3 linked regions of the Arabidopsis thaliana genome follow. The protein of the gene in region 2 interacts with the protein of the main gene of each other region in a pairwise test. Each region holds a gene or a part of one and is shown on either strand. Other genes may lie near its edges.

Region 1 (5,608 bases), on a different chromosome or scaffold from region 2:
ATTCATTTATTCCATGATTTTGCTCAGAATATTCAAATTTATAAAAGAAATGGACATTACTTTGGAAGAGTTGAAAAACTTATAAAACAAAAAACATAACAATAGAAAACTTTAATCGATTAAATGAATTATTGAATGATTGTATCCACTAATTACAATTATTGAAATAAATATGTATAAAGTAGAGGGTGTAAAGCACTGTATGAAAAGATTATGATAACATAGTTCAAAGAATATCATTATGAGTCATAACTAATAATCATTCACCAATACACAATCGATCATCTTAATATATACATGATTAATTTGGATTCATTTTAAAGCACACTTAAAAATATATCATGTCCAATAATTTGTGAATTATTATTTCATCAGAATTGTCATAGTTATCTAACCATTTGTGTTTAGGGCAGAACTGTGTCTGAGGCTAAATTCATTAAAAAATGTCACTAAATTCTGCAGTTTTTGTTTTTTTCCATCTATGACGTTATATAATAGCTAGCCAGTAATTATTAAAACCGTATAGAATATATTCTTGAGTCTAACTTTAATCTACATGACAAATTTTTAATTACTCAGCACCGATTGGTTTCTGTAGATGCATGTCACAAGCAACACAAAATAAAAAAAGGTATTACAAAAAAATAGTACTAACCTACAAAATTACTTATTTATAATTCTTTTGATCTTTCTCCTTTTAGCTTTTCCTTTTCTCTTATTAGTGTTTATATGATACTTTCGTAAAACGTTAGGTATTGTATAGTAAATAAAACCTTAAAAATGCCAACGAATATCCTTATCTTCTAGTGTTCTACATGTGTTGATATCACCACCGACAAGTATCTCGGGTAACCTAATTGTTGGTTGGAACTTTCAGAATTTTTAAAACTGAAAAATTGACATTATCCTTCTAATGAATCACATTCTTCTTTTTTTTGTCAAATACTTCCCTTTGTCAAAGGCATGCACCACTAAATTATCTTTTGTTTTACAAAATGACCAAAATTAGCGGCAATATTTTACGTCAACACTTGACCAATTTTGATTGTTAGAGAGCACTTTGTCAATAAACCAAAGTATAATGTTTCCCTCCTTACTCTCCTAATGTATAATATATATTTTGATTATAGAACTCATAGTTAATATTGAGTTGCATCCCTTTGTTTTAACAGTAAGGCTTTGACTTACGTTTGTGATTATACCAATTACCAAGTATGATCAACACTCAAGATTTTTTTTTGACAAGAATATAATAATGAAAATGCTTATGCTTTGAGTAAATTAATCAGGAAAACTTTTAACTCATGTTAATATAGTATTTTTAACAAATATGAATGGACTACAAAGAGAATTTGACTAAATGTATAAAATATATAATTTGGAAAAAACATGGAACATGACATGGGGAGCACGTAGGAGAAGCGGTGATAGCAAAATAGAGTGATTCACTTGAAACCGATTTGGTAGTATCTTTTCTTATAAACATGTTCCAATGTAACTAGTACATAGTTGGTCACAAATACAAATTTGAATTTGTCTTCACCTCAAATTGCCAAACAACCCATATGGTCCCCATCCATCAATGGATTTTCCTCAATTTTCTTTCTTTTGAATATATAACAAATTTGTTTTTTTTAAGAAAATACAAATATTTGTAATGAAGATCCATGACATGACAAGTGCTTGTGAAAGATTACAAAGAGTGATAATAAAAAGGGGATGAATTTTGCATGCTGAAGCAATCAAATAAGTAGCTGAAAGAGTAACACACACATGAAAGTGCAAGTGACACATCTTTTACAACTTCTCTCACTGATGATACCTTTCTTCCTCTTCCTCTGCCTTTGCTTCTCTCTCTGAGTCACTACACTCTCTCACCAACCCATCCTTCTCTCTGTCATTCTCTAAAAAAAGAGGTCCACTATAAATGAGCCTTGAGCTGTGGATGCTTCTTTGTCTGGTTTTTTAGAATATAATAAAAAACAAAATGGGTCTCTAGATTTCAGATTTCTGGGATCTGGGTGTTAGATTAATCTCTTTCTCTTCCATTATTAGTAGAGAAAGCTCACTCCTTTCACTCAAAGTTTCTACCTTTTTGTTTTCCTGAAAATGGGTTGTGTTTGAAATCTCACACTTTGAGATTTGGGTGTTTATTTTGGGATCCTTCTTACCACATTTAGAAATTTCAGCTAGGGTTTTCGATTTCTCTACTTCTCAGAGGAGATTTTAGAGGCAAAAGATGGCTCCAAGGTTGGATTTTTCAGATTGGTGGGCGAAAGACACGAGGAAAGGAACACCAGTTGTGGTGAAAATGGAGAATCCTAATTACTCTGTAGTTGAAATCGACGGTCCAGATTCGGCTTTTAGACCAGTGGAGAAGAGCAGAGGCAAGAACGCTAAGCAAGTCACTTGGGTTTTGCTTCTCAAAGCTCATAGAGCTGTTGGATGTCTCACTTGGCTCGCCACTGTCTTTTGGTCTCTCCTTGGTGCCATCAAGAAACGGCTTAGTTTCACTCACCCACTTGGCTCTGAGAAATTAGGCAGAGACAGATGGCTTTTCACTGCCATTAAGCTCTTCTTAGCTGTTTCCTTAGTGATTCTCGGCTTTGAGATTGTTGCTTATTTTAGAGGATGGCATTACTTTCAAAGCCCTAGTCTTCACATCCCCACTAGCACACTTGAGATCCAGAGCCTGTTTCATCTTGTGTATGTTGGTTGGTTAACCCTTAGAGCTGATTATATTGCTCCTCCCATCAAAGCTCTCTCCAAGTTTTGTATTGTGCTGTTCCTTATACAGTCAGTAGATCGTTTGGTACTTTGCTTGGGTTGTTTTTGGATCAAGTATAAGAAAATTAAGCCGAGATTTGATGAGGAACCTTTCCGTAATGATGATGCTGAGGGATCTGGATCTGAGTATCCAATGGTTCTTGTTCAGATTCCAATGTGCAATGAGAGAGAGGTATGCTCATTCAACTTTGGTATATCCAAGAAAGTATTCATCTTTCTCCTGCTTTATATAACCTTTTTGGTATCAGTGTAATGAGCTTTAGTCTTCTTCTTGTTCAGGTGTATGAACAATCTATATCTGCCGTGTGTCAACTTGACTGGCCGAAAGATCGAATACTGGTTCAGGTTCTCGATGATTCGAATGATGAAAGCATCCAACAGTTAATTAAAGCTGAGGTTGCCAAATGGAGCCAAAAGGGAGTCAACATAATCTACAGGCATCGCTTGGTTAGAACTGGATATAAAGCTGGTAACCTCAAATCAGCAATGAGCTGTGATTACGTTGAAGCATACGAGTATGTCGCAATCTTTGATGCCGATTTCCAGCCTACTCCGGATTTCCTTAAACTAACAGTTCCACATTTCAAGGTTGGTATTAACATTGGTTTCAATTTTCTATCATTGAAAAGTGGAGAGAGAGATTGCTAACATGTTAAAAATGTGATTTAATCTTCAGGATAACCCAGAGTTAGGTCTAGTTCAAGCTAGATGGACATTTGTGAACAAAGACGAGAACTTGTTGACCCGTCTTCAGAACATCAATCTGTGTTTTCACTTTGAGGTGGAGCAGCAAGTGAACGGCGTGTTCTTGAACTTCTTTGGTTTCAATGGAACAGCTGGAGTATGGAGAATCAAAGCCCTTGAGGAATCTGGTGGTTGGCTTGAAAGGACTACTGTGGAGGATATGGACATAGCAGTCCGCGCTCATCTTCATGGATGGAAGTTCATATATCTTAATGACGTCAAGGTACTACTTTTTATCGATTGTTTCTAAAAAAAGCCTTATTTATGTAACAAAATGAATTAAACTGGATAGAAACAAATCTATAGGTCCTTTGCGAAGTTCCTGAGTCCTACGAGGCATATAAGAAGCAGCAACACCGTTGGCATTCGGGACCTATGCAGCTTTTCCGCTTGTGTCTTGGTTCAATCTTGACCTCTAAGGTAGTGTGCAGCTTTTTTCTTCTTTTAGTTCAAATGTTTGCTAATCATCATGTTAATGACTTCTTCTGGTTCTCATTGGTTACTCTTGCAGATAGCGATATGGAAGAAGGCGAATCTGATACTTCTCTTCTTTCTTCTTAGGAAACTCATACTTCCTTTCTACTCCTTCACTTTGTTCTGCATAATCCTTCCACTCACCATGTTTGTTCCAGAAGCTGAGCTCCCTGTTTGGGTCATCTGCTACATACCAGTTTTCATGTCTTTCCTCAACCTTCTTCCATCTCCAAAATCGTTTCCTTTCATCGTTCCTTATCTCTTATTCGAGAACACAATGTCTGTCACCAAGTTCAATGCGATGGTGTCCGGATTATTCCAATTGGGTAGCTCTTACGAGTGGATTGTCACAAAGAAAGCTGGAAGATCATCAGAGTCAGATCTTTTATCTATCACCGAGAAAGAGACACCAACCAAGAAAAGTCAATTGCTTAGGGGAGTTTCCGACAGCGAACTTTTGGAGCTGAGCCAACTTGAAGAACAGAAACAAGCGGTTTCAAAGAAACCTGTCAAGAAAACCAACAAGATATACCACAAAGAGCTCGCATTGGCCTTTCTTTTGCTCACTGCAGCGCTTAGGAGTCTCTTGGCAGCACAAGGAGTGCATTTCTACTTCCTGTTATTCCAAGGTGTTACCTTTCTTCTTGTGGGTCTCGATCTCATAGGCGAGCAGATGAGCTGAGAAGAACAAAAGAAGATTCATAACTCGGGTCAATAAATCAGTGAGTTTGAATTTCCACTTCCTCTATGTTCAGTGGTATCCTCTGTAATGAGATTGTTGGAACCATAGTGGTAGGCATTAATTGATTTTCCGTTTCGTTTGTTTGTTTGTTATGTTGGTTTGATTCCTCCATTGTTAGGGATAGAGTGTGAGCCAGAGATTCATACATGTATACAATATCTGTAAAGTTGGAACATGTTGTTGGCAGTTAAAAGAGCTTCTGTCTTGAACTAATTTCAAGGATCATGTCAAATCACTGCAGAGAATTTATGTAATTTAAAGTCCAACCTTTGTGGAAAGAGATTGTAACTGTAAATAACTAACAAGAACCAGTTTTCTGACTAAACTGAAACAAGAGAAAGACCAATATTTATTGTATTCTCTGAGGATCTTAGGACATTCTCAACTTAGTGTCGGTGAAAAGTGAAGAAACGTGGAGCAAAAAAAGTGTCGGCAGAGGAAGTGGAATGAGGAGAAGCATAATTGCAGAAAAAAAGCAGAGGTCAGAGAGGTTTACGTCACATAACAATCAATTCAATGATGTGTAAGTGAAGAATGGGACCAAACAGATTTTAATTTGGTGGGTTTGTTGATGATTCTGGGACCGAACTAGGATCATGATCTTGTCTCTCTTGCTTTTCTAGGCTTTTAATTGTTGTCATGCCAAAACAACGTCTCCATGTCTACTTCGCAAGTATACTTTTATTTTTTCACTTAATTTGGGATTTATAGTTGCTGAAACGAAACCATAGCTAGTTGTTACGTGAATAAGAGCAAATCAGATTATGTATTCAATCTTCCTCTTAGGCAATTACTTTGCTTCACCTTCATAAAAGTGAACAATTTCACAACTATGCTTAAGTGAAATGAACACAAGTACCA
Region 2 (4,744 bases):
ACCAAAAGATTCGTCCTGAGCATGAATCGAAAGGAAAAGAAATCCAAGCAAATACTTTTCAAAAATGTGACAGTGCTTGTTTCAGATGTGACCCTAAGGCACATCGGTATCAGGTATGCCGAACTCCAGCACACCTTTGTGCTCTGTACAAAAAATCTGTTAAGGGAAAAGGAAAGGAAGTGAACCTTGCGGAACATTCTGAGGGTACAACCCACCTTGATGCTTCTGACTTTGCTAATGATCTCGATGAGGTTGTCCTTGTGGAAAACTGAAATTTCTATCGTGTGGGGCTCGAATTAATATGTCATAAATAAATCGACGCTTGCTTGAAATTTCCTAAGTTTGTGTGTTTGTATTACCTATCATGTGTAATTATTGTGTGCTTGTGTTACCTATCATGTATAATTATCGGGTGTTATATGCTTGATTAATAAATTTATTTTCTACTTACCTTAATCGATTATGTTTATTTCAGAAATGGATCACATTACAAATGGAATGGTATCCAAGGCAAACCTTAGAGATATTTGCATACCGAATAGTGGAACAACACACACTATTCTAAAACAAAAAAAAAAATTCTCTCATTTGAAATCAACAAAAGTTATTGTTAACACAATATCAGGTCCCATAGACTTAATTGAATGGACCGGTAAAACAAATTTTGCATTACTTAACGGGACAAAGTTCTCGATAAATAATGCATTATTTTTACCAAATTCAAAAAGAAATTTGTTGAGTTTCAAAGATATATACCTTCATGGATATGACACTCAGTGTGCAAGTGAGAATGAAAAAAAGTACATGTATATCACTTCTGAAAAATTGGGAAAAAGACACGTTTTGGAAAAATTACCAAGACTCCCATCAGGATTGCATCATACATACATTAATTCAATAGGATCACATCTTGTTATCAAAAGAGATCATGATGATTTCACATTGTGGCACGATCGCCTTGGTCACCCAGGCACCACGATGATGCAAAAAATTATAAAAAGCTCACATGGACATTCAATGAAACCCTAAGAGTTTTATCAAGAAAATAAAAGGACATGTGTTACGTTTTCTCTTGGAAAATTGATTATAAGGCCATCGACAAGCAAAATCGATAAAGAATTACCAAAATTCCTTGAACGAGTCAAATGCGACATTTGTGAACCTATACACCCACCATGTATACCATTATATTATTTCATGGTAATGATAGACATGTCTAGTAGATGGTCACATGTTTGTTTGTTATCATCTTGAAATGTGGTATTTGCGAGATTTCTAACTCAGATAATCAAAACTAAGAGCTGAGTTTCCTGATTATCCAATCAAAGGAGTTAGATTAGATAACGTTGGTGAATTTACGTCTCAAGCATTCAATGATTATTACATGGTAACAAGAAAAAATGTCGAACATCCTGCACCCCATGTCCATAGTCATTCGAGGGAGAGCTTGTATGATTATACTTTTTTACCTTACTGTGGTTTCTACCAATGGATTTTATTAGAAAAGTTTTAACGAGACAACATGAAAGATATCGCAAAGAGATAAATGACAAATGAACTCTGGACGAGAAGAATGTTGCAAAAATTAAAGAAATATTTACATATTAAGTCCATTTGCATTTTATCTATATACACTCATATAGATAAAAAAAAAACAACGTAAAGTTTCTTTTATTATTATTTTTCTTTCGTGATTGTTCTTTTTCTCATATTTCTTCTTTTTAATATATTTATTATTATTCTTTTTAAAATATTAAAAAAATTGAATTGATAAATAACTTATAATACAAAATTCTATTAAATTATATTAATAAAATTAACCGCTCTGTGTTTTATTTTTTCAGAGGTTTACTTAATCTTCAATAAGCGTAAATGTTTTGGTTGGTAATGTTATTATGTTTATAAAAAAACAACTAACCAAGTTTTTACGTTAGAAAATATCAAAAACACTTTTGGAAGGAAAACTTGGGTACACGATTGAAACGACGTCGTTTATGAAAGCAAAACAAAACCCAGAAAGTTTAGGTCTCGCCGGAAAAATCGAATCAAGCATCTTCTTCTTTCACGTACGAAACAAAAAGCTCAGAGCAGAGTCGAATCGGTACGAATCTTTATCTAAATCACTCTGATTTAGTTTCGGTTATTGTGAACCATTTGATTGCTCTGTCCTTTCAATTATCTATCTAGGTTCGATTACTTCGTTAGCTGCTTAATTCTGTGATCAATTATCTCATTTAGTGATTTTGATTTTAGGGTTTTCTCTTTCTTCCTTTAATCTTATATTGGGATCTTCTGTATCGGATAAAGTCATAACCTTTGAGATAAAGGAATCATCTTTATTGCTGAAAATGATTGAGCTTTAGGTCTAATACAAGTCTGAGAGTCTGATTTCGATTCTGAGTATAAAAATTGAAACTTTCTATTTAGGGTTTTCTTAATCATTTGTGTTGCTATGGTTGCTTAATGTATCACTAAATCTTGGTCTTATTAGTTGGTTGCTACTGATATAGAATTGCATCTGTGAGTAAATTTAGCTCAAAGATAAAAGAGTCCCCTTTATCGCTGAAATGATCGAGCTTTGAGCTCTAATACAAGTTAAAGCGTTCGAATAATCGATTCTGATCATAAAAATTGAATCTTGCTATATAGTAGTTGCTTAATCATTTGTGTTGCCATGGTTGCTCAATGTAGCACTTAATCTTAGTTGATTCTTAGTTAGAATTGCATCGGTGAGTAAACTTGGCTCAAAGATAAAAGAGTCCCCTTTATCGATGAAATTGTCGAGCTTTGAGCTCTAATACAAGTTAAAGCGTTCGAATATCGATTCTGATCATAAAAATTGAATCTTGCTGTATAGTAGGTTCTTAATGATTTGTGTTACCATGGTTGCTCAATGTAGCACTTAATCTTATTAGTTGATTCTTAGTTGGAATTGCATCGGTGTGTCGTTGGGATTGTCTTTGAAGGATTAATATGTGTTTTCTCTTTGCTTATGAAGCGATGAAGCATCGAGTTCGGTGTTCATGAAGGTCAGAGAGTTAAGTATTAGCAGAACTGGTTAGGTCTTAGTGACAAACAAGGTATTCATGTTATCCATCCCTGATACTAGAATGTGGAATCTAGCATCGAGTTATCTTACGGGAAACATTGGACCGAAAAACGATATCAGAAGACCGGTCCATGCTCATGCGGAGTGTTCAGATGACGATGTATCTTCTGTAGGTAGTAAAGACGAAGGTCTCGAGTGTCCTATATGCTGGGAATCATTTAATATAGTTGAAAACGTTCCGTATGTGTTATGGTGTGGACATACGATGTGTAAAAACTGCATTTTGGGACTTCAATGGGCTATTGTGAAATTGCCTACTCACCCGGTTCAGCTTCCTCTCTTCATTTCATGCCCCTGGTGCAACCTTTTGTCTTTCCGTCTGGTCTTCAGAGGAACACTCAGATTCCCTCACAAGAACTACTTTGTGCTTTGGATGGTCGAGAGGATGAATGGAGAGAGACGTAACTCACCTGGTGGAGCTCAAACAGATGGAAACAATGATCATACAAGGGAAACTCCATCTCCATGTCTCCACAATCGCCATCATCGCAGTCAACCTGAACCATCACGTTCTGTTAATGATCATCGCATTCCAAGGGACAACATACAAACTTCACTGAGGAAGTCTCTGGTTTTCTTTGTCCAGTTGACAGCAAAGTTCCCATTAGTTGTCATATTTCTGCTGATAATACTCTATGCAATACCGACCAGTGCAGCCATATTGGCGATGTACATTCTAGTCACTCTCTTGCTGGCTCTACCGTCGTTTCTCATCCTCTACTTCGCTTATCCTTGTCTCGACTGGCTTGTTCGAGAGATTGTCACATGAACTTTCTAAGGATGCGTTCAGAAACTTCCCATTCCTAATTTGACGACTTTTCTTCAACAACTGAGACCCAAGATCGGTCATGTAAGTATAACAATTTCGTAATTACCGTCTTCTTTATCTATATATGGATGTAGTTTTGGATTGCATTGTTGCTCTACGAAGCTGGACGTATGTGTTGTAAGGGCTCTTGCAGAAACTTATTAGTATTTGTGGATTTGTTTGTGAGTGTTTGAGTGTCTCAATAAGATTTATGTATATAAAGTTTATGCAATGTTATTTAGGAATTGCGTAACTAAATGCATTGATTTTTCTTATATATAATGACTAAATTGTATGGGTTTTTTTTTCTTTTGTTTGTTTGTTCCACCCATTTCCATAGAAGAAAGCAAAAGATGACACCCAAAATTAGGGGTGGGTGTACGGCTTTTCGGTTTGGTTTCGGTTCGGTTATTTCTCTTTTATGTTTTCTATGAGTTCTAGTCTAGATCATTTGAGCTTAAAGCGTTAATTGTGTTCTACGATATGAAACAAAGACTCAAAGAGCATTCAAATATGATGTATACACAAAAAGAAAGAGTTAAGCTGTCTTAGTTTATGTGTCCCTCTTCCACCGCAGCAAAATCAAGCCCGGAAATCTTCATCGGTCCAATGTTAACTGGCAAAAACCCCGGTGTGTTGATTCAACAAAACAAGACAACATAAATGTAATGAGAATGGCACAAGAATAAAGTGTTGGTTTTACTTACTAACAGCATCAAGTCCAGCTAATTTGGGCATAAACTGTCTGATATGGTCCTCTGCTGCTTCATCTGCCTTCAATGTCTCACACTCGAACGAAACCGATACTTTCTTCTTCCCGTGTTTTT
Region 3 (3,619 bases), on a different chromosome or scaffold from region 2:
TACGAGTAAGAGTGAAGTTCAAAGATGGGTGTGATGAATTTGGAGAGCAAATACACATGGACATTAAATTTCCTTTCCATAGAGAAAGAGGAGGAAGAGTTTGAAGCCAAGCAAACGCATCAGGTGTGTCACAAGAAGCCATTAGAGCTAATATTGAATATCTAGTTGTTGTTCTAGATATGTGTGGTATAGAGAGTATATGATTAGAAGACTAGATTTATCATTTATATATAGAGAGAACATTTTAATGAGTGGAAGAAAAGTAAAGGAAGAAAGATTCGCTTATTTTTTTCAAAAGGTAAGCTAAACAAAATCATGAACTATTTTACGTAAACCAGAAAATATAGAGCTACGCACGAACACGAGACGTCTCTTTAGTAAAATATTGAAAATTTGAAATGTGATAATGATTAAGAGTCCTGCAAATTATGAGATAACGTACAAGGAAAAAGGTTTAGATGATAATTAGAGTAGCTAGACCGTTAAGAGGGATGTAATTAAATTGATAAAGTACGTGCTATTCAAGATTCTTCCATATGTGGATTTCAACCCGAATTTCCAAGAAATATTCTTGATTAGGCCGACGAATATTGTTATTCGATGCCTCTATTCTACTCAATAATGTTTCTTCGTCTTTATTTAGTTTACTAATTATATGTTTGATACATAAATAAATACGAATTATGGAGTGTGTTTGTATATACATAAATACGAATACGAATTATGGAGTGTGTTCAAATAATTATACATAAATAAATAAATACGAATTATGAATTATATACAAATATAAATTATATACACTTGAAGCCTGACGATTACAATAGCAGCTGATCATTATCTTCGGGGTGAATTCAAATTATGGATTGTGTTTGATTTCCTCAAGTCTTAATTTTCATCTACTTTTCAAACGACTAATTAATAGTGGCTACATAACTAACGACTCGATGATAAACACTCCAAAAAGCAATCAATCACTTGAGCAAAAGTTCAAAAGAAAACACTCCAAAAAGCAAACGCAAACACCAAACAAAACAAAACTCAAGTAGAGTTTTAGATAAAGCAACAGTAGAATTTTAGAAAAACCAAATTAAAACACCAAGTGTTTATGCCAAATAAATTGGCTAGACGAAGCAAAACAAGAACACATTATTGATAGTGTAGATTTGGAGTTCACTAATTGATAGTGCAACGTTTGAGTTCAACATTGCCTAGGCTGAGTGAGAATATCTTATTGTTTCCATCCACGAATTTGAGAAAGTAACTACATGTTACCTTTACCTTCTTGTTATTCTCGTCAACCTCATTTATCTCGGTCATCTCAACATGAACAAGTTCCGCAAACCTCCATTTGTTTTCATTATCTCATTTTGATTGTCCCAATCATGTCAAACTCATCTTTTATCGCTTGCACCCCCTTCTTCATGTAGTCTCCACCACCGGTTGCATAGGCGTCTTTAAAAATGCTCTCGAGTTCCCTCCAGTTGTCTTTGCCCCAAGTTCCTGGTGTCTCAAGACACCATAATTCATATATAACTCATAATTCATATTTATTTATGTATATAATTTGTATTTGTATATAATTCATAATTTGTTTAGCTTCAAGTGTACATAATTTGTATATAATTTAATTTCACAGTTTATAGATATATTTAGTAAACCTTTATCATTCATGATCAATTGATCATATGATTGTTTCATTTGTTCAACGAGAACACTCATAGGGTGGGAAATGAGATGATAATTATTGAAATGATCATATAAACAATTGTAGGAAGTCGTAATTTATCTGCAAATAAAATTAGAATATTATTAACTACACTAATTTACTAGTTTGTGTTGTGTTATCCTTGTAACATCATATAGATACAAACCACTGAACCAGTAAGATTGTTTGTTTGTTGAAAAAAAAAAAATGGTTTTATGAACCAATAGTGGAATATATTGGGCCTCTTCCAACATTATAGACCCATCTAAAAATTGCTATTAACTCCAACTTAATATATTGGGCCTATTCCAAAACATTATAGGCCCATAAAATTTAGGCCTTTAGAATATCTAACACGGTTTTGCCGCAACTTCAGTTTCCACTAAAATCGGAACAACAAATTCACACTCTCTCCGCCGCGCACAGACTCACCGACACCACCAATAATGTCTTCTTCTCCGGCGATTCTTCCCGTCACCAACCAGCAAGCAGCCACTCAATCTCAACCTCCAATCAATTCTCACGCCTTCCGTACTTTCCTCTCACGCCTCTCGTCCTCTCTCCGCGAAAGCCTCTCTCAACGCCGTCCATGGCTAGAACTCGTAGATCGGAGCTCCTTCGCTAGACCTGACTCTCTCACCGATTCCTTCTCCCGGATCCGTAAGAATCTCGCTTACTTCAAAGTCAATTACTCCGCAATTGTCTCGTTAGTCCTTGCTTTCTCCCTCCTCTCGCATCCATTCTCGCTTCTCGTCCTCCTCTCTCTCTTAGGCTCCTGGATGTTTCTCTACCTCTTCCGATCTTCAGATCAGCCTTTGGTTCTCTTTGGTCGTAGTTTCTCAGATCGTGAGACTTTGCTTGGTCTTGTTTTGACTACGATTGTGGTTGTGTTTATGACGAGTGTTGGATCTTTGTTAACATCGGCGTTAACGATTGGAATCGCGATTGTTTGCTTACATGGTGCGTTTAGGGTTCCTGATGATTTGTTCTTGGATGAACAAGAGCCTGCTAATGCTGGTTTACTCTCGTTCATTGGTAATTCTGCTGCTACTTCTGCTGCTGCTTCTGTTGTTGCAGGACGAGTTTGAGAAGCTCGAATTTGATGATTCTGATCCTAGAGAACAAACGAAACCTGGATTCTCAGGGTTTTTAGTTATGTTTTGAGTATAGATTCGATGAAGATCTGTAAGTGTTAGATCTAAAGATGCATTGTTGTGTTGTATTCTTCAATTTCGTCACAATTTAGAAAATTTGGAGCTGATCCTTCTCAAGTATTGTAAGATCTCATTTACCTTAAATCAATTTGATACTCTTTGCCTTCATCACCATATGTTTGAGTTAGATTTAGACTAAACCAGTGAAGATTATAGTTTGACCAAAGTATTAAGGATTAAACAAACAACATGTAGTTTAACAACATACGTGGTAGATGTAAATCTTGTAACTAGTTATGTCTATGTCTCTCTAGCTACCAACTATTTTATTCTTCCACAAGTTTCCTCTATCTCGAAAGCGAACAGCCAATACTGTGTACGAATTTGCTGATAGTAAGAGGGTTATATCATGGGAAAGTTTCCCACTGGATTTACATGTTTGGCCAATTTGACAAAAACGACACACGTTTAGTTTGGGGATTTTGTCTTAAAAACTCGGCTGCCAAAAACAAACTGAAGATTCGGTCACCTGAATTGTCTTTTTCGGTCAAAGTCTCACTGAGTTGCTTCTTTCTTAGATATAATATAGGTGACCTGTTTTTAATCTTCATAACATGAGATATATTTTCGTGGAATGAGTTGTGTCTTGTGAAATCTTTTTTCTTTGGTTTTAATGTTAAGAATGTCTTGTGAAATCTTTTCCTGGATTCTAATTATTGGTGAGAATGTGAGATAAAAACAACACTTAGGTACTAAGTTA

Evidence for each region. Proteins that work in one complex are often made in the same cells at the same time.
Region 1: the proteins of AT3G29270 (region 2) and CSLC5 interact in a two-hybrid assay, tested with the Arabidopsis thaliana proteins (one large-scale study listed by BioGRID).
Region 3: the proteins of AT3G29270 (region 2) and PRA1.B2 interact in a two-hybrid assay, tested with the Arabidopsis thaliana proteins (one large-scale study listed by BioGRID).

Annotation. Positions count from the first base shown.
Region 1 is NC_003075.7:15,308,968-15,314,575, reverse strand, and holds CSLC5 (Cellulose-synthase-like C5), read left to right. Parts: upstream 1-1,588; 5' UTR 1,589-2,239; coding exon 2,240-2,959; intron 2,960-3,066; coding exon 3,067-3,375; intron 3,376-3,463; coding exon 3,464-3,754; intron 3,755-3,837; coding exon 3,838-3,951; intron 3,952-4,042; coding exon 4,043-4,687; 3' UTR 4,688-5,070; downstream 5,071-5,608.
Region 2 is NC_003074.8:11,232,240-11,236,983, forward strand, and holds AT3G29270 (RING/U-box superfamily protein), read left to right. Parts: upstream 1-1,933; 5' UTR 1,934-2,101; exon of another isoform or gene 2,102-2,998; 5' UTR 2,999-3,086; coding exon 3,087-3,878; 3' UTR 3,879-4,219; downstream 4,220-4,744. Other genes in the region: AT3G29280 (uncharacterized protein), read right to left, coding at 4,466-4,533, 4,625-4,744.
Region 3 is NC_003071.7:16,863,908-16,867,526, reverse strand, and holds PRA1.B2 (prenylated RAB acceptor 1.B2), read left to right. Parts: upstream 1-1,939; 5' UTR 1,940-2,151; coding exon 2,152-2,793; 3' UTR 2,794-3,081; downstream 3,082-3,619. Other genes in the region: AT2G40390 (neuronal PAS domain protein), read right to left, coding at 1-142. UniProt on the Arabidopsis thaliana protein: May be involved in both secretory and endocytic intracellular trafficking in the endosomal/prevacuolar compartments.